3 linked regions of the Pelodiscus sinensis genome follow. The protein of the gene in region 1 purifies or fractionates together with the protein of each later gene. This does not show direct contact. Links are inferred from orthologs where the notes say so. Each region holds a gene or a part of one and is shown on either strand. Other genes may lie near its edges.

What was found. The genes of interacting proteins can lie anywhere in the genome.
Region 2: the proteins of caspase-8 (region 1) and FASLG purify together in Homo sapiens (co-immunoprecipitation; 8 studies listed by BioGRID and IntAct, with this or other methods). This does not show direct contact. The link is inferred for Pelodiscus sinensis from reciprocal best matches to the Homo sapiens genes CASP8 and FASLG.
Region 3: the proteins of caspase-8 (region 1) and TRADD purify together in Homo sapiens (affinity purification with western blotting; 6 studies listed by BioGRID and IntAct, with this or other methods). This does not show direct contact. The link is inferred for Pelodiscus sinensis from reciprocal best matches to the Homo sapiens genes CASP8 and TRADD.

Annotation. Positions count from the first base shown.
Region 1 is NC_134717.1:56,935,391-56,944,032, reverse strand, and holds the start of caspase-8, read right to left. Parts: upstream 3,457-8,642; 5' UTR 3,439-3,456; intron 1-3,438. Other genes in the region: caspase-8-like, read right to left, coding at 6,842-6,992. UniProt on the Homo sapiens protein: Thiol protease that plays a key role in programmed cell death by acting as a molecular switch for apoptosis, necroptosis and pyroptosis, and is required to prevent tissue damage during embryonic development and adulthood.
Region 2 is NC_134719.1:64,390,899-64,399,350, reverse strand, and holds the start of FASLG (tumor necrosis factor ligand superfamily member 6), read right to left. Parts: upstream 3,134-8,452; 5' UTR 1-3,133. Other genes in the region: SUCO (SUN domain-containing ossification factor), read right to left, coding at 4,816-5,262, 5,926-5,981. UniProt on the Homo sapiens protein: Cytokine that binds to TNFRSF6/FAS, a receptor that transduces the apoptotic signal into cells. Involved in cytotoxic T-cell-mediated apoptosis, natural killer cell-mediated apoptosis and in T-cell development.
Region 3 is NC_134722.1:39,337,689-39,345,609, reverse strand, and holds the start of TRADD (tumor necrosis factor receptor type 1-associated DEATH domain protein), read right to left. Parts: upstream 3,134-7,921; 5' UTR 2,866-3,133; intron 1-2,865. UniProt on the Homo sapiens protein: Adapter molecule for TNFRSF1A/TNFR1 that specifically associates with the cytoplasmic domain of activated TNFRSF1A/TNFR1 mediating its interaction with FADD.

The sequences.
Region 1 (8,642 bases):
GAGATCCCATGTGTTCCAAAAGAAGATCCTTTCCATCAGTTTTTTACATTAGCAGCTTTTGCATTAATTCTCCCATCACATACAAGATGCAATCAAGTGCAAATCCACTAATGTAAAACCAATGTAAAGTAAGGGAAGACTCAGGCCAGGTTGGGAATAAAAGGTGCAGTCTGGAAAAAGGTTTCTACTTACAGAAAATCTGTGGCATTTTCGCCCCCTAAAATAGCATGTTGGGTAGGGAAATTCCAACAGTTGGTGTCAGGGTGAGTAGTTGCTTTACCACAAGAGAAAAAGATGGGGGGAAGCCCACAAATGAAGTTTAGGGACTTCCCAAACAAAGCAATGAAGCAGAATTTTCTACTCATTCTGGACAAAAGTAGTCAGGACAAACAAAATCACTTTTCAGTATGATTATTGGCAATACTTATCTACACTGCTGTCTATCAGACAGACAGTAGTGTAAATAGGTATAACTTATTCTACACTGCAGTGCAAGCCCAGGTTGAAACTCAGGCCAGTGCTACACTAAACCCGAAAGATTGGCTCAAGGTGTGTAACTAACGTAGCTGGAGTCAGCATATCTTAAACCAAGCTTGTTGCCATCTTCACAGTGGATGTTAATGGGAGCAAACACTCCCATCCGCTTCCCTTATTCCTTGTGACTGGGAGGAGTACCAATGCTGACCCGAGATGCGCTCAGCATTCAATTTAGCAGGTCTTAACTAGACCCACTAAATCAAACACCAGAAGATCTATCACCGGAGCATAAGTATAGATGTGGCCTCAGACTCACGTGCTACTCTCCCTTCTGTCTACTCACAAACGTCTTGGACTTTGGCTCAAACCCAAGGTCTTAGACAGGAGTCAGCAACCTATGGCTCCTGAACCAAATATGGCTCTTTGGCAGCTGGAACGCAGCCCCCCTCCTCATTCCCTCCACTACAAGGAGCCCATACTAGCACTTCAGCCTTGCAGCCCCCTCACCTCCACAAGATTGGTGCGCTAGCGCTAGCTTCCTGTGGGGGCAGAGAGGGGAGAAAGCCCCGAACCTCGCTGCATGATCCAACTCGCAGGGGAGAAGTGGAGGCAGATGTGGCTCTGCGCGCTGCTGCATCCCCTCCCTTGGCTGCAGGAACAGCAGCACATGGACATGCTGCCTGTAGGATTTCTCCGCTGTTCCCACTGGCCAATGAGAGCAGCAAGAGGTGCCTGAGAGCAACATGGGGCGCAAAAGCAAGTGAATGCCCCCTTCCTCTCATGCCCAGACTTGGCACCCCAACTCCCTGCCCACTGAGACCCTGCACTCCCAGCCCACTCCTGCACCCCTCCCCCTGGCCAGACACCCAAACTGCTCCTGCATCCTTCCCCTGGTCAGACACCCCACCGTCAGCCTGTTCCTGCACTCTACCTCCCACCCTCATCCCCTCCTGCACCCCATCTCCCACCCAGATCCTGCACCCCCATCCCTACCCCACTCACTGGCCGCTCTGTCCCAAACACTGAACCCTTCCTTTTTGGCTCCACACCAGAGCCTAAGGAAGTCCACAAAATCCACTGCCCCTCAAAGCCCAAGAGAGTTAATCTGGCCTGAGGCCTTGAACTTCATTTCTTCCTCCTCTCCATGGGGATGGAGTGCCAGGGAAGTGGGGTGTCTCAGTGGGGGGCCACATCAGTGAGGGCTGTGGGATTTTGGAGGGGTTTTTTGCTGCTCATTTGTGTGGTCCCTAATTTTTCTGTGGGTCAGTGGCCCCCACCCCGAAAAAGGTTCCCCGCTCCTGCCATAAATAAAGAATGTTGAAACCTTTTGTATTGGACATAACATTTTTACTTCATTTAAAATAAAGTTTGCTAAACTAATATGAGAAAGCTGAAGTGCTTAATCTGTTCAATAATTTCAACTAATATTTTCTTTCTTACTGGCTAAATTAAACTGTTCTCCCTTGCTGCACCATTAGCAAAATGGCTCGAGTGTAATTATATAATTAGCGTCAAGTTTCCATTAGGACCTGGTGGTCCACGGAAAGGTTTATAATGACCTGGGTGGGCCATGGGCCAAAGGGCCTGTTCTTTTGCCATTCCCAAAATACATGGAACTTTTTAAATTAAAACGAAAAATTAATACACAATTTCAAAGACACATAAAATGGGCAGGCTGGGGGCACTCTGCTCATTGAAAGGGCCAGCTGAGGATGTGCTGGAAAGAACACGTGCACGCTCCCAGCTGGCATAGCGAGAGGGGCTGGCGGCAGCAGATACCTCCACCTGGCTGCCACAGCTCGGCTCCAGCCCCCATCTTTCTGCCGCGGTCTGTCCCCAGCTGCAGTGCTCCTGAGGTGGACCCCGCAGCTCAGTCATGGTGGACCTGCGACTGCTGCAACAGCCCAGCCATGGTGGCCCGGTTTAGGTTCCAGCTACGGCAGCCTGGCCAACTAGGCCCCAATCGGAAGCCAATCCCCCATCTGTCCACAGGGTCCTGTCCCTAGCACCGATCCTGGGGCAAGCCCCACTGTATGGTCCCCATCTGGCTGCAGGAAGGGCTGGTGGCAGCTCCCCTCCTGCTGCGGCACAGGTAGGAGGGGAGGCCATAATCTGGCTGTGGCGATCCTGGCCTGGCCCCTCATCCCAGCCACTGCAGCAGCCCAGCCTCGGCTAGGTAAAGTAATCCATTCCCAGAACCTCCCCGCATACTCTGCTTCCCATCCCAGCACCCTGCCCTGCTGCCTGCACCTCCCACACATCCCATCCCCCTGTCCTGAGCCCTTCATACAGCCCAATCCTGACTGCTGCACCCCCACGTCCACAAACCCCCAGCAGCAGCAGAAGTCCATTAAATAAAGCCTGTGAGTACAATGTTTCATTGGTGCTATTATTAATCATCACATCAATCATCAATCATTTTCAGTTGTATATTTTCAGTCATGCAATTGGGCACTCTTATGCCGGCTCTTTGTTCTGAGTTTTGATGTAATTTGGCTCTTTGACGTGAAAAGATTGCCAACCCTTGCTCTAGAACTTTCCAGAACAAATAAAATTCTAGAATCAGGGCCTGACCCAGTCCTGTATTAAGGTTCGTATAGTGGCCATCTTGGCATTCCACCCTCCAATTCAGGACAGATCTGTGTTTTGGCACCAGCTGTTGGCTCAGTTCTTGAAAGGCTCTTCCCTTCTGTCAAGAATCACCTCCCAAATGGGACCTCTGTTGGGTCCTCTCTAGGCTGACAGGACCACCCTTTGAGCCATTGGGCTCGTGTTCCCTGGCTCATTTATCGTGGAAGGTCGCTTTCCTCATGGCGGTGATATCGGCCAGATGAGTGTCAAAAGCCTTGACATCAGAACCATATTCAGTCCTCTATCTGGCTCTGACCCCAGATGGTCTTTTTACTGAAAGTGCTATGGCCCTTCCATGTTAACCAGGATATTTTCCTCCCGGCGTTTTACCTTAAGTCACATGCCAATAATGAGGAGAGGAGGCTGCATGCTTTGGATGTCAAGTGTGCCTTGACTTTTTATCTGGCACACACCAGGCCCTTCATGGAAATCAACCCAGCTCTTCATGGCAACTGCTGACAGGATGAAGGGCCTTCCAGTGTCTACACAGAGGATCTCCAATCAAAGATCAAAGCGTGTTACTGCATCAAAGCGTATTATGACCCGGCACATGTCCTGCCACTGGTGGTCACAGGCATTATCGGCTGCATTCCTTGCTCACGTCCCAGTCCAGGACATCTGTAGAGCTGCAATGTGATCTTCCATACACACATTCACGACTCACTACAGCCACACAGACTAGGGAGGACACTGGCTTTGTCAGTGCTGTGCTACAAGCGACATATCCCTGAACTCCTATCTGCTTCCATGAATACTGCTTGGAAGTCACCCAGTTTGGAATGGCTGTGAGCAAGCACTGGAAGACAAAACAGTTATCTGTTCCATAACTGGTGGTCCTCGAGATGTCTATTTCTCAACCCACCCTCCTTCCTCACTTGTTGGAGTTTCCAGTGGGCAGGAACTGAGGGTGATGAAAGTGTGAAGCATCCCTTATATTGTGCTTTGAGAGTTGCTAGAGTTGCTCCCCTGTGGATACTGGACCATGGTGCTTGTAGCGTGCACACACACCTGACTTGGAATGGACATGAGCAGCATCTCAAAGACCACCAATTACAGAACAGGTCTTTTAGCATCCGCCTGTTTCTTTGTCACTGTCCGGGTGGATACAAATTGATTTTTTTAAAGTCTACTGTTAAACAAATTATGTAGAGCAATTGCATCTTCTATAGGTGGGGAGACAATATTTTCTTCATTTCAGATTATAGTTATCTAGTTCAGTTCATTTACTATCTCATTCAAAGTTAAAAACCCAATTGGGAGTTGGAAAAATGAAGGACACTGTTTTTCTCTGCCACTCCATGTGGAAAAAGTAGGTGTAAGAGAGTAAGATCTACTAGTTCTAAATTCTTGAAGGACAACGTAACCAGGAACAAATCAGTTAAATTCACAAATCACTGATAATACTGCCTTTGTTTAATAAACTGGTTAGTTTTCAATGTTTTGATACACTTTCTGATAAACTTTCTTCTGATGTATACAGCACTTTTAATATCATTTTATTTAATAAAAACAATTAAAATGCTATTTTTCTGCATTTTAATTTAATTTGAATTTCCATCCTATTTGAGTGTGACAAAGATCACACAAAAAATTTAATCTACTATATCAGAAAAGCCTTCACCATTTTCTATTAAAAATGTCAAAACAAAGAAGCTGAATAAGTATATGCTAATGGGCTAATCTATATAGTTGCTTTGCTTAAAGAAATATGTAGAGATATAGTGTAGTTAGCAAAAATCACCAGCAAAATATAGCCTTTCCACTAAATTAATTTAGTTGCAAGTCAGCATGCTTCTGAGGTTACAAATTAATGAGAAATCAACATTTCCTTAAGTCACATTCTAAAAAGTACAAATGCAAAACATGATTAAAATAGTGGTTTCCTGCTTGCTGATTTAATTTCTGTATAAAGGGACTTTTCCCCCTGAGAACCATGCTATAGACCTGATGTTCTAGGCAATTTATAGGCTCAACTTTCTCCGTCCATGCAGAACCTCCCCAGGATCAGATCTGTAAATCCAGAATACAAATCAAGGAAGTTAGGGTTTTTGGGGGGTGGGAAAGTTAGGAGGGGCATGGGCTGAGATAATAAAAATGGATTTTGGTAAACCAAGACTGGCTGTTTTTCTGGAAATTGTGCTCTAGTTCAAAAAGGAGTAAATTCAGGAAAGTCTTATGTCTGCAGTATAGGAGGTCAGACAAGATGATTACCAGGGATCCTAGTAATCCATTTAGAAAAAACACAGAATTTGCATTTTTACAAAAAATCTCTAGTTTTTACATTGTGTAAAAAAATATAAATATTAACTATTAACTAAATCTTACTGAAGGTGTCAGTGTCACTTATTCACTGTGTGCAGCCTCCCACTCTTGATTTTTAAATTTACATAGCTAAACATACTACAATAAACTACTTCCAATGTACTGAAGTTACTCGACAGTGTATAGGGTTCTGTGTTTTAATGTCTCTCACATTTCACTTCAACCTCCAGACATGAGTAATCAAAGTTATGAAAAGATACCAAAAACTTTAAAACCACCCCTAGAGTCAATGAATTTGGCAAGGAGAAATTTCACATTGATGATACAGGTAGAACCTCTCTAGTCTCGCATCTTCTGGACCTCACTGGTGCTGAACCAGAGAATTTGCTGAACCATTCAAGATCAATATTTTCTATCAGTATTACCAACACTTCCACTGCTTACAGGCCTCTTAGAAGATATTTAGGTGTAAATTAGAGCTAAACAGCACAACAGAACACTGGACTGGTGGCTGTAAACAAACTTTATGAGACCTCAGGAAACTTGGCCACACACACCCATGATAAGTGGACATCCAGCCAAAAGAAAGCATGCTGAACCACAGATGTTACTGGACTAGAGTGTGCTACACTAGACTAGTTCAACCTGTTCTGCACTGTATGCAGTAAGGTCATAGATTACATTCGAAGGCAGACACTTGTAGAACACATGGAAAGCGCCAAACTAGACTAAAAAAACAAAAAACAAAAAACACAAGAGAGGCTGAAACAGTAGGACCATCAACAACTGTAAAGAAACAATGTACTATGACTATCACGTGAGTGTTTTTATGCGTTTAAAACCCACAATTTCCTGAAAATATAGAATACAAACATACAACTGTTAGGTATACATAAAACATACAAATAGCAATTCTATTAATTTTATTATAGTGTTTGTGAAATGGATAGGCTTGAACTTGCTAAAAAATGGTAAATATATCAATAAAACATTGCATTCAACTGATACCTATATATATTGTGGCTAGGGAAACTAAAATTCAGCGTTTCATTTCAACTGTGGACAAACTGAAGAATTTTGGGGTTTTTCCTTTCACAGAAAGCTAAGATCCCTAATAATCACAATGGCCCCTTTCAGACATACTATCTATGAATAACATTGACAAATGGAAACTGCCGATTTCCTCATTGGTTTGGAGTCATAATTTTCCTGTGTGTTTCTTCCTGTGAAATCAGGGTCAAGGCAGTCAATCCTAGAAAAGGCTGAGCAGGCTCAACTCCTACTGAAGTAGATAGATGCTGGACACTGTCAGGCCATTTCATGATTTGGACCACTGTCAGGGCGAATGATCCAAGAGTTGAAGGCCCTCGGTACCTTGTAGGACTGGGACCTAACTGAATAGATCCAGTCCATTGGTCTTTTGGAACTGCAAGTTGAATCCATCTCAGAAAGCGGCTCCTAGTTTAGTGTCTCACTGACGCTTCTTGTCTGGCGTTGGCACCTGGAAGATCAGTTGCTTCCGCAGGGTTGATTTTATTTCTGGCATCTGCTTTTTGTCGAGAAACACTTTTTCTCCCACTTTCTTATTGACTTCTGTCAGAATGGTCAACAGATCTACACGCCTTGAACAAATTACAAGGGGAAACAAGAGTGATACGGAAACACACAGGACTTTCAGAGTAGCCGTGTGAGGCTGGTCAGGAAAGTTGTCCAGGTTTGGGTGACATGATCCCCTGGAGCAAGGACAATGGCTTTCCTTTACCCTAGCTAGGCGGTGGGTAAGGAAGGCAAGGGAACGCATTGCCTTCCCAAAACAACTGGGGTGGTCCCACCCATGCTCCGCCCTAGGGCCCCTCCTACCTGTGAGCAGTGGGTTGCTCTTGGACTGGTGCTGGGGCTGGCGATTGGAGAGGGAGAGGTGCAGGGCTGGCCAGCCCCCTGGTGCTTCAGGGCCAGAAAGGCTGGTGTCGACTGGTTCTACGACCGTCTGGGAAGGCTGGAGCTGCCCAGCTGCTCAGCCAACTGGTGCTCCTGCCAGCCAGGAAGGCTGGGGCCACACCACCCGTGGAAGGGGGGAGGCACAGAGGCCTGGGGGCATCCCAAGGCTGGGAACCACTAGCCTGGGGTGGGGACCAGCTGCTACAGCAAGAGCGAGCTTGGTTCCATGGTGGTGGGGGGCATTGTGGAAGGGACGGGGACTCGAGCTGAAGCGCAGGCCTGGGGACTTGCCTTCCCCAGCTGGGGTTTCACCCACCACCTATGGTACGATGTAACCATTGCATTCAACATATATCAGAAGAAAAAAGAATTTCAGAAAGGCCACTCGGTGTAAGCTTTTCTATCAAGCTGCATTTCTTGATACTGGTTAGAAGGAGCATTTAGATAATATGGAGACGCCAATGAACATCATCCAACCCTCCTGCTGCTCTCCATGATGCTACACAAGACTGATCACAGACACCATTTGCCTTCATTTCCAAAGCACAACACTGGCGCGGCTTCTTCTATAGACTGCAGCCTAGGGAAGGGTGGTTCTTGCCATTGCTCTTCACTAAAAAGAACTGCCTGCTTCCTCTGGCTTCCACTAATTCCCACTGGAAGAACAAAACCACTGGTCATTTAACATTGTGAAGTACTATATAGGAGACGTCTGGGAAGGCAGCACAGTATGGAGCAGCGACAGGCAACCAAGGCTGGTGAGTGGGCCACGAGTGGCCCTCCATCTCAGTGGGCATGTGCATTAACCATGACCAGCATGGTTTTTGCTTTAAATGGGGGTCACTTCTCATTTCGCCCCACCCTGTCCTCACACTCCAGCCCTTCCATCAAAACACTGCCCGGCTCGTCTCTGTCCCCTCCAAACACGCCTCATCCCCTCTCCTTCCCTTTCCTCCCAGCACTTCCAGAACTCTGTGAATCAGCTGACCTGTCCCTGATCCTCCACCCTCCCTCCCAGAATTCGAATGCTGTGAATCAGCTGATTTGTGGTATTCAAACTCTGGGAAGGAGGGCGGAGGAGCAGGGACAGGTCAGCTGATTCACAGAGTTCCGGAAGCGCTGGAAGGGGGGAGGAGGAGGGGGAGGTAAGTGCGGGGTCCCTAGGCACGAGAGGCATGGGGAGACGGCTCAGAGGGAGGCTGTGCAGGCCGAACATAGAACCCGGACAGGTGATATGTGGGCCACAGGTTGCCCACCACTGGTGTGGCGGATTGAGCTGGGAACTGGGCACCTGCAGGTTCAGCCCAATAATCCTGGCTACACTGCTGATTCCC
Region 2 (8,452 bases), on another chromosome or scaffold:
TTAGTTGGAGCCGCTTGTCAGAGCTGTGAATGGAGTCGGATGTCTGTGGGGCTCTTCCTCTGAGTGGGTCGAACCCCTTCTCGTATGATCAGAAAGAGGTGCCAGTGCGAGCCAGCCTGCCTGGTCTCTGTTAAATCCGGTAGGTTCTGTTACAATTGGTACACAGGGGTCTTCTGGTCAGTGGCAAGGTAGGAAATGAGAGGGATGAATTGTGCCAGAGCAAAGGGATTATCAAATTTAGCAAGGATGGAGTTATTTCTGTGTAACGGGTTTGCTGGGGCATTGCTCAAAGGTGGCAGAATTAAGGTTGCACAAGGAAGGACCTTTAGCTCTTAATTTCTGAGTTTTAGACATTAGTGTTCCAGAGGGGTACTGGACACAGCCAGGCAAACTTAACTCTGCGTTAACAACATGCTGTGTTACTGCATTGCCCAGTTTATTTGGGGTTTTTTCAAACAAAAATCTTTTCTGTAGGACTATATGGCCATTCAGGCTGCTAGGAGTTATCACACCGGTTTGTGGGTAAGACACTGGTAATCAACCTGTGACCGGTTCGATCACAAAGGTCCCCTTGAGGCTGTCACCCGCTGTATGGAACCTGCCTACCTGCTCTCTGAGGCACGCCGCCACCCTGTCCTGTTGGGCCAGAAGCTCTGGTTCTCCGGCCAAGCCACCGAGTTGGGGTAACAGCACCCCAGCAAAGCAACAGACACTGAACCAGCTTGGCTCTGGGAAGGGCCGGCTATAAGGCTGTTGACAGCACGCAGGAACACAACCCCCAAAAGGGACTAAAACCTCAAATAAATCCATCTTACTCTAAATGTTTTACACAGAGAAAGCTCATTAGATTTGCTGTCTATCAATGAGAGAGATGCACACCTGTTATTCCTCCCAGGTAACAATTATTTCACTGGGTCTGACAAAAACTTTTCTTAAGTATAAAAAGCAGGATTTAAGTGATTGCATATGAAAACAGATCTAAGTTACTAAACCAAAACAAACAAAACATGCCAATTAAGCCTACTACACTAAGACAAATTGTTTCAAAGTATATTCCTCACCCTTGTCCTTATTTCAGGTAAAATGCTTCAAGACCATTGATTTTTCTTTGGCCTGGGTCTACAGCTCCTTGGGTGTGTCTAGACTACAGGGTTTTTTTGGAAAAAGCAGCCTTTTTCGAAAAAACTTCCCCTGCATCTAGGCTGCTGCTGTGCTCTTTGGAAAGTAAATCAAAATGGGGCAATTTTTTCGACCGCAGAAAATCTAGTTTTAACGAGGAAGAACACCTTTTTTTGAAAAAAGGCGCTATGTAATGCAAACTGTCGTTTTTTGAAAGAGCATCCAGACTACCTGGGTGCTCTTTCGAAAAAGCAGCTTGCTTTTTTGAAAGTACTGGTTGTAGTCTAGATGCTCTTTTTTGAAAGAGGTTTGCAGTCTAGATGTCCCCCTTCTGTCCTTAAGAGTTCTTTGTTTCCAGGTTACTGCATTTGTATCTTCTGAGGGTGGAGAGGCCATTTCAAAGGCCAACTGAAGACAAAAGACCAATTGCTTTCCATTCCTTAAATACTTTCCCCCAGCGTGGGAATCTTTTGTTCCCCCCCCTTATCTTCATGGAAAAATACCAGATTCAAAATAGATTCTAGCACCAGGTGATATGTTTTTCTACAGCCAGCCACAGTTTGGGCTTACAGGAAAAACAAGCCCATGTACAGATCATTGCCTTGACCACCGGACGACTAAGTTTCCTACAGTACCACTAACTGCTTTCACTAAAAGACTTAGATGCACAGAAACACACACATTTGGCAGATTGTAACTTTAAAAAAAAATGATAATTTATAGGATACATTTTGCTTAAAGCATCTTTGAGTTATGCTTTATGAAAATTGGCTTATGAATATGCATGTCACACAACCCTAGCTCTTAATACTGCATGTTGACTAGTCCTTCTCAAACGCTTGGCAAAGGGGGTAACAGATGGGGAAACTGAGGCAACGAGTGGTGAAATGACTTACCCCAGGAAGAGAATGTAGATCTGCTGAGTCGTCATCCAAGCCTCATGCTCACGCAGTGACTCCTAAGTATTCCTCCAGAGAGAACTGTCATGCTTTCCAATGTCTGGAGAGTCTTGCTGCTAAGGAGAGAAACCTCCAGATGTGAACGGTTTTAGTACATCCAAAACCTTTTAAGCACATCTGAGAAGAGAGGCTTGTCTCTCCTTCTCCACCCCCTTTCTTATTCCTGCCCAAAATGTATAGCGCCCCTTTCCCTGTTTTTAATAAATCTTGCCTTGGTTAAAGTTACTGTTGCAAGAGTAATGTCATGCAGATATCTCCAGAGAGGAGATAGCCACAACTGTGAAGGATTAGAAAAAAAAAAAAAAAAAACGGTAAAAAGTTTCTGGAAACTACAACCCTCACATAGTCTTGGCTAGGACCCACCTGCACAGGGAGACACTCAAGGCCTAGCAGGCACCAAGAGCTAGCAGTGATATTAGGGATGTGAACAGGTAACCATCACCTACAGCCATATGGAAAGATATTAAATGTTCAAGGCTCCAATCGCTTAGTTTCTTTTTTGTGAGGTTATTGAAGGCTATAGGAGACGGCAATAATTAGCAAGAGGTCAAGATTGAGACTAAAAAACAAACCACAGGCCAAACAACTTCTTGCCTGAGGAAATGTGACAGCCCACCTACTTTTTCTGCAAATGAAGTTCTTGGTAAGTTACAATTAAAGATATAGAAACAAGAAAAAGTTGCACAAATTAAGATTCTTGCCAATGAAACAAACAATAAATCCACATTTATAGCTGCTACAAGTGGTAAACTAGCTCATTTATAATTACAGCAACCTCTAAAGGCCCTGAGATCAGGACTCCCTGACGCAGGTTACTCTTCAAACAAATAGTAAGAAACAGTCCTTGCTCTAAGAGTCTACACTCTAAATTAGGAATGTAAAATCCTGTTTAATTTGTTAACCAGTGAAATGTTACGTTTAACCAGTTAACTGCTTAAATGGGGGAGAAGGGGAAGGGGAAGGAAGGCCACTCCAGCCTGGCTGGACTGAAGTGGCCCCCTGCCGTCACACATGGTGAGAGGATAAATCAAAGCAGAGAGGCAAAGGGACTTTTCTAAGATGCAGGAGTAAATTCCAGGTTTCCTAGTGCCTCAGTCAGTCCAGTGTCCTATAAACTAAACCACACAACTTCACAAATTTGAGCTTCAACCCATTAACAGGGGATTTATAAAAGAAAAGCTACTAAATGCATAAGACAAGTGTTCAGATTTATTCGGAAATTCACAGTTTCTAATGGCACTACAGCTCTGTAGTTACATAATCTTGTTCCACAATATTGTTTGCTGCACTCAGATAGTATAAGCATTTTTTCTTCATTCTTGTTTGGAGCCCTTTCTGATTAGACATTCTATAAATCAGGTCCATGTGCTCTGACTGGCTAATTGTGCAGACCGTCTCTAAAAGTACATCACCATAAAGTATCCATAAACTAACATGAAAGCAGCAAAAACAAAAGCTTTAAATAAGTCACATTACATACAATACCCAGAAAAGGCATTTGATCTGTTTAAAAAAGGGTACCACTAAAAGTGCTCAATAAGTTAACTTAGTTTTACAACATGAACTTATAACACCTCTCAAAAAGGAGTAACCTTCTGTCCCATTCACTCTGCTTCAGTCACACCATTGTATGCAGTCACACATTCGATTTTATCCAAATATACAACCATGGTCAAAATAAACTCATATGAAAGTACCAAAACACACACACACACACACCCTGCACATCTTAGCCAATACAAAAGCAAACTTTATGGAAATATCCACTTTTATACAGACTTGAGCTGTTAGACTTCAAGGCTTGGCAAACTCACTTGCATTGGTCAGGTGCATTTGTACCCAACCCTGGTTAGGATACTTATATTTTCAGTTGTACCTAGTCACCCTTACATTTCTCCTTGAATGTAGTCCCTAATGTCCAAATTCTTGGATCAGAAAACAGAGTGACTAAAATAAAGCATCAATCCTTTTTGGTTAAGTATTGTAACAGAATTCCAAAGGTCAGTCTGGGGATCAAAGGCATGTTTGTCAGCATGAGCTCCTTCACGTACAGCGAGTGTAACTGCATAGCTGTAATTCATTTTACACACCTAAATAAAACAATTCTGAAGTTGATTAAAATGTAATTAATGGCATTACAATTGCTTCTAACAAGATCTTTTCCAAGTGAGTTTTCAAAATGGAGATCAATCGACAAGTCTGCCATGTTAGTATTACTACGGTCTCCAGCCCACACTACTGAGTCCAGCTGACTGCCAACATGCCCCTTTACAGCACTGTAGTGTCGCCTCCTCCAAAAAGCAAGAGAAGTTACAAAAGAAATCAAAGGACAATTTTCTCTCTTCCTCTTCCAGTGGCATTATAAATAGACAAAAGGCACATAAATACGGGAAGGTGCAAGAAATAGGAACAAAGCTAAAGGAAGAGGATTAGGCTTTTATCCCTATTCCACCCAACAAACTGGGTTTCAACTATCTTTGCCCCACTAATTGTGAAAAAAGCTTTATAAAATGATCCCTCCCACCCCCCATTTGTCCACAGAGGAAGTCATCAGCCTTGTAAAGCTGAAACTCAACCAAGATTGACACAATCCCATCTATTTTAAAAAAAACAGAAATCATAATTTCTGAATACTTTCCAGTTAGCTGATCTCTTCTCCCATCACTCTCCTGCAAGATGTACAACAGACTGTTCTCAGATGAACAAACACTCTCCTGCATGAGAAATCCAACTAGTTTTAGATGTGTCCAGAAACAGCTGTGACACCAAGTGTTCCTACAGTTATCTCTTTGTTTCCTTTGATTATGTCATGCAGACTTGGCATTGACCCAGTCTTAGTCTGTATTAGAGTTTTTATGAACTTCCCTTGGTCTGGAACCTTAGATCGCCTTCGTTTTATAGCCCTCTTCTCAGTTTTTGTCTTTTGGGTTTGTCCGTTGCACAGAGTCGTGCATGCTGAAATGCCACAAAAATAGGATTCCTCGGATTGAGATGAAGTTTCTGAGCTTCCTTCAGATGGAGGACCCTTATATGAGGAATGATATACCTCGCCAATGTTAGAGAAATCTCTCTGGTTCGTAAAGGGTTTCCTTCCTTTTATTTCCCCATTGGCTAATGGATGTAGAGGCTCTGACGCTGGTTTAATCGTCTCTATCTTTTCACTTTTATATTTGCAGCGTTTCTTCTAAAGAAGGAAAAAGAAACTATTAGATTGTGCAATGCAAACAAAATCATATCGCATATGAATAATAGTAGATCATACATAGGCTTGTCAGAACTCTAATAACTGATAGATAATACTGATGTTTATTTTAAGCATTTTTATTTTTAGTCAAATTGTCGCAGTTTGCAGGAAATTATCCAAGGGGTCAAAATTATTTAATATAGTAGATGCTGAAATTCAGAAAGTTAAAGCTTTACCTGGTTAAAGCAAATTATCAACATCACATGGCAAAATACATAAGGTAAATATCTTTACATCAAACTAAAGTTCTCAGGGATCATTTTTCTTACTGTGTAAATTTTGATCATCATTGATATAAAATGTAAATACAACACTGAGTCCTGACAAAGTGGGTTCCAGCCCCTGAAATCTTATGCTTAAATAAATTTGTTAGTCTTTAAGGCATTCCAGAACTCCTCCTTGTTTTTGCTGAAGTTGACTAACATGGCTACCCCTCTGATGACTGATAAAAATATTTATCATCACGTGGGGGTGGGGTGGGGGTGTGAAGCCAATGTTCACTGACATTTGTGGATATACTTAATTCTTCCAAGGCTAGTTGTAGATAAGTGACTGAGAAAAAGCACCATCTGCTGGCAGAAACCGGAAAGGAAGCTACTATACCTTTTTTTCTGGTGAAAACTTCAGAGGTTCTACAATATACAAGTCATTTGGATCCACTATAAGAAAAGAAAGGATACATATGAAAGGACAATAAAATGTAACTGCAACCACAGACACTAATTTCTAAAACCATGAAAGTATATATGAAGTTTCATTCCTCCTCGAAAGGACTATTACTCTGCATTCCATCCATACATCTTAAGATCTATGAGATATGAACAGGATGCATATTCATGGAAAGTAAACCAATCAAAATGTTCAATAGAAAAGTTCTATCTCCAGAGCAACTAACTTCTACCTGATCATATAATTCTGCAACTGCAGATCTTGCCTGAGACATTAGACCAGAGTTGAGATTTGCAGAATACATTTTCAGAAGATAAGAAGGGAGTGTTCAAGGACCCAGTACTTGGGGCAGTCATAGGGTTGCCAGGTGTCTGGTATTGAGCCAGACAGTCCAGTACAAAAATTCAGAAAATACCAGACACCTAAAATGTCTGGCATTTTCTGATTTTTTCCCAGCCAGGAGGCAAAAGTACAGGGTGTTTTCCGGGTTCCACGGGGAGCTGTCCAGATCGGAGTTCGAGTTTGATGTTAAAAAAATGTCTTGGTGTTTCCAGCAATCAAAAACACTGTTTCAGAACATTTTTTATTAAGTTTAATATCCTCTAATTTATATAAACTGAACAAGATTTAATAATGCACATTTTTCTCTGCAGAGCATAGAGTGTTTGTTATAACCATGAGGGATGGGTAGCAGCCTGGAGACCAAGGGGTTAATTGTACCTAGCCAGGTAGCATTCAGCCAATAGAAATGCAGGTAAGGACTTCAAACTGAGACAAAGGAATTTTGGGGTTTTCCCTCCTTTGTCTCTGGGCAGTTTGCTCTCTGGATACTGAGGGAGGCAGAACACATGTCTCTCTCCAAGAAAAAGACTCTTCATAATGTATAAATAGGGTAAAGTTTAGATAAATCCATTAGGTTTTATTGTTTTCTGTTTTGGAAATTTGGATCTGATGTCTGTGCTGTTAGAATGGGTTTTCCTCTCTTTTGTAACTAAGTCCTGAGCCCATGGGGGTCCCCCATGAGTATATTAATTGGTAACTTTTTCCATCTAGTCATTATGCTTGCAACAATAGTATTGTTTTGGTAATAAAAGTTTTCTTTTTTATTAACCTGGTATTGGTTCATTTCTGTGTTCTGAAAAATCTGTCTGAGATCTGCATGCCTCTGGTTAGGGGACAGCAACCACAGACTGCAATTTGTATTTTCTCTCTTTTTTTTTTTCCAAGCTCTTTGGGGAAAAGAGCGTGGGGTGCCCTGGAGTTGGTTTCAAGCATCCACCCCCGGTCGTGGGTTTAAAAGCACCTGATGGTAGCAGCATATTTTTATCCCCAAAATCTAAGTTAAGATTTTGCGGGGAAGTGTTGTACCAAAGCTTGTAGAGATAAGGTTTTGGGGTTGCTTTTGTGGGCCCCCACTTCTGCATTCATCATGCCAGAGTGGGGTATCAGCCTTCACAGTGCTGTAAATGCACATTTCTGATGTCTGGATAGAATGGGAGTTACTGCGTATTAGGAGTTTTCATTTAAAGCTTCTGTCACAGTATTTTGGCTCAATGCTCAAATACAAGTTAAGACTTAATTATGAACAGCTTTTATTGAAGAGTTTAGTTTACACGTTGTGTACTCATTTCATTTACAAATATTTGGCAATTCTTTGAGCCACAATTCATTTATTCAATAATGAACTCAGCTTCTTAAAACTCCCCATATAAAAGTGCTCTCCACATTTAACCGAGTGTACGAATTCAGCACGGCAATGCCTGATTTCTACCCCTACTTGACTGTTCTCAAGGCTTAGCAATTGCCCACTGTACTCTTCCAATTTACTCTTTTCCTTTCTGACACACTGCTTCTGAAGCAGGGAGTGGTTTCCACAGAGGTTCATCTACTCTAAAATGCATGAGACAGACACAGGAACACTAACACGTCTATTCATTTTAGAATGTAACTGCTGGCCAATATCTATGCTGACAAAGAAAAATACACCAGATAAATGAGAGGTTCTTTTTAAAAAAAAAAGTCTGGTATAAGTATATCCATTTGCTACCAAAAAATGGAAAGCCAATTCAATGTTAATCTGCAACAGGAAAAGCTTAAGTATTATATTTCAGGGTTTACAGAAAAAAAATGTTCTGTGACTGGCTTAAAGAATAAGCTTGTCTATTTCCGAAACGCTGAATTTAGCTCATCTGAAGAAGTAGGTTTTGCCCACCAAAGCTCATGAGACTATATATATATAAGATGCCACAGGACTACTCATTGAGTAAAGCATGCAGCATCCTTTTATTTCCTTTGAAAAGTTCCAAGGTTAAGGAGTATAATTGGTTTGGCTTGCCAGGGAATTTTACGTTAAAGTGAGCATAAGGTGCAGTAGTATCACATTGCACTCTGACCCTAAATTTCTAGCTACACAAGGGCCATATCTACACCCACGTGGAAATCGATCTTCTGGAGTTCGATT
Region 3 (7,921 bases), on another chromosome or scaffold:
TGAGATCAAAGGTGAGAACTTGCTAAGACTTTACCAACCAGGCCTCTAATGATCAAATCTAAATAGCACAAGAGGTGGTTATGTTCAGCTCCTTTCTGCACAACAAAAATTTCCAAGTGTAAAATTCTGGCTCCATTGAAGGCACTGGGCAGAATGATCATTGACCTCCTCGGAACCAAGATTTCACTTCAAGGCTTTATATAATTCTAAGAGGAGGATGACACCTCACCACAAGAAACCTTCATCTATGGTAGAGAGTATGTTGAGCTCAAGCTGGTGGAACCAGCCTCAGTGAACACTGTATACTGGGACCTGAACACAAACATTGCCAGGCTTGGCTAATCCACCAAGTCAGCCAATTTGGAGAGCCTAGTCAGTTTGGAGTCTTTGCCAAAGGATAAATTGAACTAAGTTCTGTTTCAGCTTCCCTGAGCTACTGGAATTGGAGGATGTTAGAAATTTGCTGCTTTCCAGTTTCTGAATCCCCTGCTCCTTTATAATGAAAGTTTCAGGCTACATTTACACTATCGTTCGGATTGATGCTCTGAGATCGATCGACTGGCGGTTCATTTAGTGGATCAAGTTAAGACCTAAGCTCCCTGTAAGCTGCACGGCTGTGGGACAGTGCAGAGATTTTTGCTAAAACATCTACTGATTAGTCTAGAGGTGCATATGTGTGTGTGTACAGGATGGAAATATCAGAATTGCCTGAGTAATTTAAGAGCACAAATCCCAATTGCTCATGTTCCTATATCACTTAAGTGCTGTCAAAAATGCCACCTATAGTAGTTAAATATCAGTCAATTGAATAGTCTATTAATCTCATGAATTCTTGTCGGTTACACAACTATTCTATAGTCCCCAGGGGTGGGGCTGGCAGCCAGTGCACTCTGGTCCTTCTCCCGAGCAGCCCCCTGCCACTCTTGCAATGCTGCCTCTGTATCATAAGCAGCAGTGCGGGGTGCTTGTCTGTGAGGGAGCCAATTTAAAAACCAGCTCCCCTTGCAGCCTGGCTGTCTGTTGCCCCACAGCACTGCCTCTGATGCAGAGGACAGCAGCATGGGGTGGCAGTAGCCCCTGTCAGAGGGAAGATGAGGGGATCTGAGCTCCCAGACTCAGCATGAGCCAGGCTGCTGGCCAGCCTGCTAAAAAATTGCCTGGTTGGGGGCCGGAAAGGAGAATGTGTGAAGTATATAGTATTAACCTATAAGCTTTTGCTTATCAGTTAATTGGTTAATTGACTATGTTATTACTTCCCTAACCCATAGCGGAGCAAAAGGAGGCGATGAGTCTAAGCTGCAAAGTTTAGAGCTGCTTTTGGATGCTCCCAAATGTTCGGTGGGTGTTAGTTCAGGTGCATGTCTGTGTCCCAGTATCTCAGAGGGAGAATAAAAGAGACAGAGACAGAGATTCAAGTACTTTGCTTTAGTCAGTTTCAATAGAAATCCCTCCCAGTACTATAACACAAAATTTTGACCTGAACTTTGTTACACTGTTTCACAATAGTAAATGATGCATCAAACTGTATTTATTATTATTGTTATTAATTATTTTTATTTTATTAGCTATACTCTAGGAGCATCTAGGAGCCCTAGTTATGGGCCAGGCCCATTGTGCTGGGTACTATACGACACAGAACAAAAAGATGGCCCTCAATTAAAATGTAAACAGATTCATTTCCTCACCTTTGCTCTGATAGGGAGGTCATTTACTTGTGAGTAATTTTCCCTCTATGCAGTATAATATTCCCTGTAGCGGGGTGCTCTGGCAATAACTTTTGCACAATGTAATACTCCTAATGTTTCATAATCCCAGCACATGGCATGGTATTCCAAAAGCTGATATGAACTGTAAATGGTATTTCACGTGGTAGGAGTTCCTCCAATTACAATATTTTGAATCATGTGCTGTTGTTAATACACAGTTCGTGAAAGGAAAGGTAGCCATTATAACAGGTCCAGCAAACCTGTTAGGATCAGCAATGCAGTGCAGAAAGGCTTATTAAAATCAGCAGGGTTTGGCTTAATAATGTGTGAAAAATACAGTTTGAAAATAAGGCAGAGATCACACATGTTGAATTTAAAAATCTCTATGGATTCAGTGGCCCATGTGAAATGAGTTTTAGGAGTTTCAGCTCAGTTCCTAGTAAACAAATCCGTCTGAGGAAGCCACCCACATTAACCAGGTTCTGAGGCTGCTTGGAGAAGTTTGCATTGGATTTCCTCTTTCAGTGCCAGTTTAGTAGAATGGCAGATGTGGGACTGTTAATTTGGCCCATTTTCACCAGCATTAATTTTCCATGATTGTAAAAGTCAGTTGGGTCAATATCACAGATGTGCAATTCCTGCCTGTTGCACTTAAAAATCTGTGGGCCAAACTCCCTATGGGTGCAAATAAGTCTCACTCAATTCAACATTTCACCCACTTACACCAGCAGCAATTTTGGCCCTATATTTTAAAAACAATAGAAAAACCTAAGCCCCCGTGTCAGACTGACAGAACACAAAATATTTGTTCCAGAAGTTGAAAATCTCTTTCCCCATGCCCCACCCCCACCCCAGACCAAAAAGTTAGCCTTAGGGTGAGTGACCCTGGAAAAAAGCTTGCTTTGATTTGGTTTTATTTTGTAATTTATGAAGGAGATTGGACTAGTTTAAATTTTAATATCTTTGTAAAAACGAATCGCTCATTTGCTTTGGGTCTCATGTGACAAGCTTGTGGATGATGGAATTTGTGGGGCAAAACGGAAAGCTTCCCTGAAGCAAGAACTTTCTTGGCAGCAAGCACAGCTGATTGATCAGAGCAGAACCACATTAAATGTCATGCCCACCAAAAACCACCCTCTTATAACTCTCATTAATTTACCTTGTCCAGACACCCCCTTCTCACGCTTTCAGATGCCTTTCACTTCCGCCTCTTTGCATAGCAGGAGGGAGAGTCACTAAAAACTCCTCCTGGTCATGTGGCTGTAATGACAGAGGTATCCTGAAAGGCAGCTGAAGGCAAGAAACCAGACCCCCAGTTTAGCTGTGCTGTAATCCTAACCAGGAGTAGCAAGGATTTTAAGGAATTTAGGACAGAGACGGGTTAAATCTTGCATGACAGTATGTTACTAAGGGTCAGATTAAAGCTGTATGTCTCAGAAAGGATATTTTCCTGCATACGGGGATTGTACTTCCCCTTCAGGTTTAGGAATCAATATTATTGGCCAGAGCACTTGTCAGTCCTATGTGCCTGGGATAGCAATAGGAGGCCCGTAACTGAGTGCTAAAGAATTTGTCTGCAGCTATCAGATGACTGGATAGACCAATCAAGTGGGTTTAGGGTTGTCAATTTTCTCTTTGCTCTAAAGGGCACTCCTATGTGAAATGGCAGAGTACAGAACTGTGCACCAATGTATTATCATTTATTATGTTTCTGATTTAAAAATATATATTATATTGTATATATAACATATGAATAAACATGAGTTGGTAGATACAGATACGCTCCCTCTCAGGAGTGTCCTCTTTTTTTGAAAATTCAAATATGGTAACCCATTAGGTAACACACAAATCACACAAGTAACTGTAGAAAAGTTCAGGGGGTAGCCGAGTTTGTCTGTTACAGAAAAAAAACAACCAATGGTCTGGTAGCACTTGATAGACCAGTGGTCCCCAACCATTTGGGGTTGCCGGGCACCAGGGGGCGTGGCCGTTCGCCCGCCGGCCGCCCAGGGGGGCAGGGCCCCCCCATAGCCACATTCCGGGGGCCGGCGCTCTCCCCTCAAGCGCCACGCGCCCAGGGCCGGCGCTCTCTCCCCCCCTCCCCCAAGCGCCGCGCGCCCGGGGCCGGCGCTGGCGCTCTCTCCCCCCCTCCCCCAAGCGCCACGCGCCCGGGGCCGGCGCTCTCTCCCCCCCTCCCCCAAGCGCCGCACGCCCGGGGCCGGCGCTGGCGCTCTCTCCCCCCCCCCCCCCCGCCATGCGCCGCGGGGGGTCAATCCGTGGCGCCCCCGGGGCCGGCGCTCACCGTGCGCCACGCACCCAGGGCCGGCTCCGGCACCGCGCATGTGCCACGTGCCCGGCCCCAGGCCAGCCCTGAGCACTTGGCGGGCGCCGACAAATGCCCCTGCGGGCGCCATGGCGCCCGCGGGCACCGTGTTGGGGACCACGGTTATAGACTAACAAAACATGTAGATGGGATCATGAGCTTTCGTGGGCACAGGCCACCCCAATTCCTGCTTTTGGGCCCAATCATGTCTGTTTTTTGTGGGGAACCACAAAAATTACTAGGATTCTGAGACATGCAAACCTGTTTGGGGGAAAGAAATTCCATATTGTGAAACTGTTTTCATTTCAAAGGGTGTGATGCTGACCTCCTCTGATTTTTAATTATTCATGAGGGTTTTTTTAAATCCTCCTTTTTAAAAATTAAACTGGTTATTGAAATTTTTTCATTTGTTCAAAATGTGGTTTTTGTTACTAACTGAAGACACGTTATGATGTTTTAGATGAAAATATTGAAAAAGGCACACACCTATTTTTAATTAAATTTTTCACTAAAAAGTCATTTGGAACAAACAAACAAACAAACAAAAAAGACTTGCTTTATTTGGGTGGAATATGAGTGCACATGCAATTCAGGCATGAACCCTGTAATCCAGCGTTTCCCAAACTATGGGCCACGGCCTGATACTGGGCCGCAGGAAAAAAGTACCGGACCTCAGCATGGTTGCCGAGGTGTTCCAGGCTCCCGAAGTGCCTGTGTGGCACCAGGTCCCCAAGCCCTTGGCCGGCCTGGGCAGAGTCTGCAGCTGAATCTTCCGGCTAGCGGAGGTTGGGGGCGGCGAGGAGGAGGAGGGGAGAGCCGGCCATCAGAAGCAGCACTGGATGGGGAAATCAGGGCGGACCAGGGAGATTGGGGGAGGGGCAGCCGGCACAAGCAAAGCTGGGCAGAGGGCTGGCCCGGGGAGATTAGGAGGAGGAGTAGGGGAGAAGCGCCCGCTGGAAGCAGGGCTTGCTTGGGGCATCGGGACTGACCGTGAGAAATTGGGGGGCTGGCAGAAGCAGGGCTGCTGGGGGGCGCGAGGTCGGGGGTAGGGAGCTGGCCAGGAAAATGGAGGGGGGGGGGGACAAGAGGCCGCCAGAAGCAGGGCTGGACGCGGGCATCAGGACTGGTCAAGGGAGACTGGGAGGAGAAGCGGGGGCGAACTGGCTGCCCGGGAGGAGACTGGGGGAAGTGGGGCTGGCCGGAGGCACAGCGGGGGGAGCGAACTGACCCGGCCATATGCGGATCTCGGGGCGCTGCCTGCCCACCCCGCAAAGCACGAATGAGTCTGGCCCAGGGATTCTATTGTGCCCCCCATCCCCCCTGCCCTCTTGAGTAGTTGTGAACTGTCTGGCTGGTAAACACGCTCATGCAGTCTGAGCACATTTACCAGCCAAGCAGTTCGAAACTACAAACTGATACAGCTAGTAATAATATGACTTACCTACTGAGAAAAGTCTGGTATTTTCTCAGTTTGTTTTTTATGTGTTTATATTTTTGGGCTGCAAAAAACAGTACAGAAAAAAAGGGTTCCAACTGAAGTAAAAAGTTTGGGAAACCCTGGTCTAACCAGCTTTCTGTCTGTCTTACTGCCCATTTATCCAATCCATATTCCTTAACTTGCTGGGAAGAATATTGTGGGTGACTATATCAAAAGCTTTGCTAAAGCTGGCACTGGGGGCTTTGGGAGGACCAGAAACAACTTATTTGAATATTCATCATTTGATTAATGAATATGCAAGTATACAAATGAATGTTACCAGTCCTCCAAAAGTTTGTGAATAGATTTACTGGTCCCCGTGTCAAAAAGTTTGGGAACCCCTGCTGTAATCTCCTTGCATAGAGTTGGTTTAAATAGCCCTCTCTTTCTTCTTCCCCTGTGCACATGTATTGGAGCAGGAAGGGTATGTCTAGACCACAGGCTTTTGTCTGTCGAAAAAAAGCATCTAGATTACAGCCAGTTCTGTCAACAAAGCAAGCTGCTTTTTTGACAGAGAGTCTAGACGCTCTCTTTTGAAAAAGCATAGTGTAGATGCAATAGCACCTTTTTTTGACATAACTCTGTTATTCCTCATAGAATGAGGTTTACCGCTGTCGACAAAACTGCCGCATTCTGTCGACTTACTGTCCACGTTTGTTGACAAAACCCTGTAGTCTAGACACACCCTAAGGAACCAGGCAGTAGAAAATGGGTGCTAAGCACCCAATGGATTGTTCTGACTGTCACAGTAGAGTAGCTTAATTGGTAGTGTTGCTATAGTGCCAATACCATGATTCAAAAATTGAGAGTCAGGCCCAAAAAATCATGAATGACTTAAAAATCCTTAGATGTGTTTACATTGCATGTTGTGTCATTCACTTGCTTGTTGTAGGGCTTTTCCCTAAAATTATGATGCCTAGTAGCTTCCTCTTCCTTTAGAAGGAACGCTGAGATACTCGTGTCATTGTATGACCTCAGCAGCAGGGTCTTTGCTTTCAGAACAGCAGGAAATACTTCAAGACACACGATAAAATCACAAGTTGGCAGGGCTTAATTTATAACAAAAAAGGTGCCAGAGCTCAATTTTTTTTTAAATTTCATAACCAATGTGACAAACCCGTGGTGCTGGGGGCCATGAACTGCCATGCCTAGAGGTTCTGGGCCTCAGCCCTTGTAAAAATTAAGCTATCCTGAATCCACAGGCTGGGAGTGGGTGAGTCATCCTCAATGGGGAGGGGTGTTGTCTAGGCAAGGCTCACACTGAGGTTGGCAGGAGAAGACCATGGCCACAGAGTTGGGAGAGATGGGCGGAGCTCAAGCCCTGGCAAGGTCTCCCACCCCATAGCACACCCCACAGCCTGTGTGCCTCGGATACCTTCTATATTTAAATGACAGAATCATTAAAAAAAGGATAGAGAATAAGACAGAGAATATCTTTTTGCCTTTGTATAAAACTATGGTACGCTCACATCTTGAATACTGTGTACAGATGTGGTCGCCTCATCTCAAAAAAGATATACTGGCATTGGAAAGGGTTCAGAAAAGGGCAACTAAAATGATTAGGGGTTTGGAATGGGTCCCATATGAAGAGAGGTTAAAGCGACTGGGACTTTTGAGACTAAGGGAGGATATGATAGAGGCATATAAAATCATGAGTGGTGTGGAAAGGGTGAATAAAGAAAAGTTATTTATTAGTTCCCATAATAGAAGAACTAGAAGACACCAAATGAAATTAATGGGTAGCAGGTTTAAAACTAATAAAAGAAAGTTCTTCTTCACACAGCGCGTTGTCAACCTGTGGAACTCTTTGCCAGAGGAGGCTGTGAAGGCTAGGACTATAACAGAGTTTAAAGAGAAGCTAATTTCATGAAGGTTAGGTCCATAAAAGGCAATTAGCCAGGGTATAGCAATGGTGTCCCTGGCCTCTGTTTGTCAGAGGCTGGAGACGGATGGCAGAAGACAAAGGATGGCGGGGAGTGGGGTTGGCTGGGAGGAGGTCGGGGGAGGAGGGCTGGCTGGGGGCGGAGGCGGAGAGAGTGGGGCTGGCCGGAGGAGAACCAACTGTTGGGGAGCGGGGCTGGCCAGGAGTGGGTCGGGGGGAGTGGGGCTGGCCAGGGGAGATGGGGGAGGACGACTGGCTGGCAGGAAGCAAGGCTGGTCGGGAGGGGGTTAGTGGGGCTGGCTGGGGAAGAGTGCAGGGCAAGAGAATTGGCCAGCAGGGAGCGGGGCTGACCAGGGTACACGCAGATCCCGGGGTGCTGCCCATCCCACGCACGGTCCCGGTGAAGCACAAGCGAGTCCGGCCCTGAGGATTCCATCCCACCTTGGCCCCGCCCCACCCCCACTGCGTAGTTGTGTACTGCCTGGCTGGTAAACACGCTCACACATCCAGGCAGTACACAACTACGTACTGAT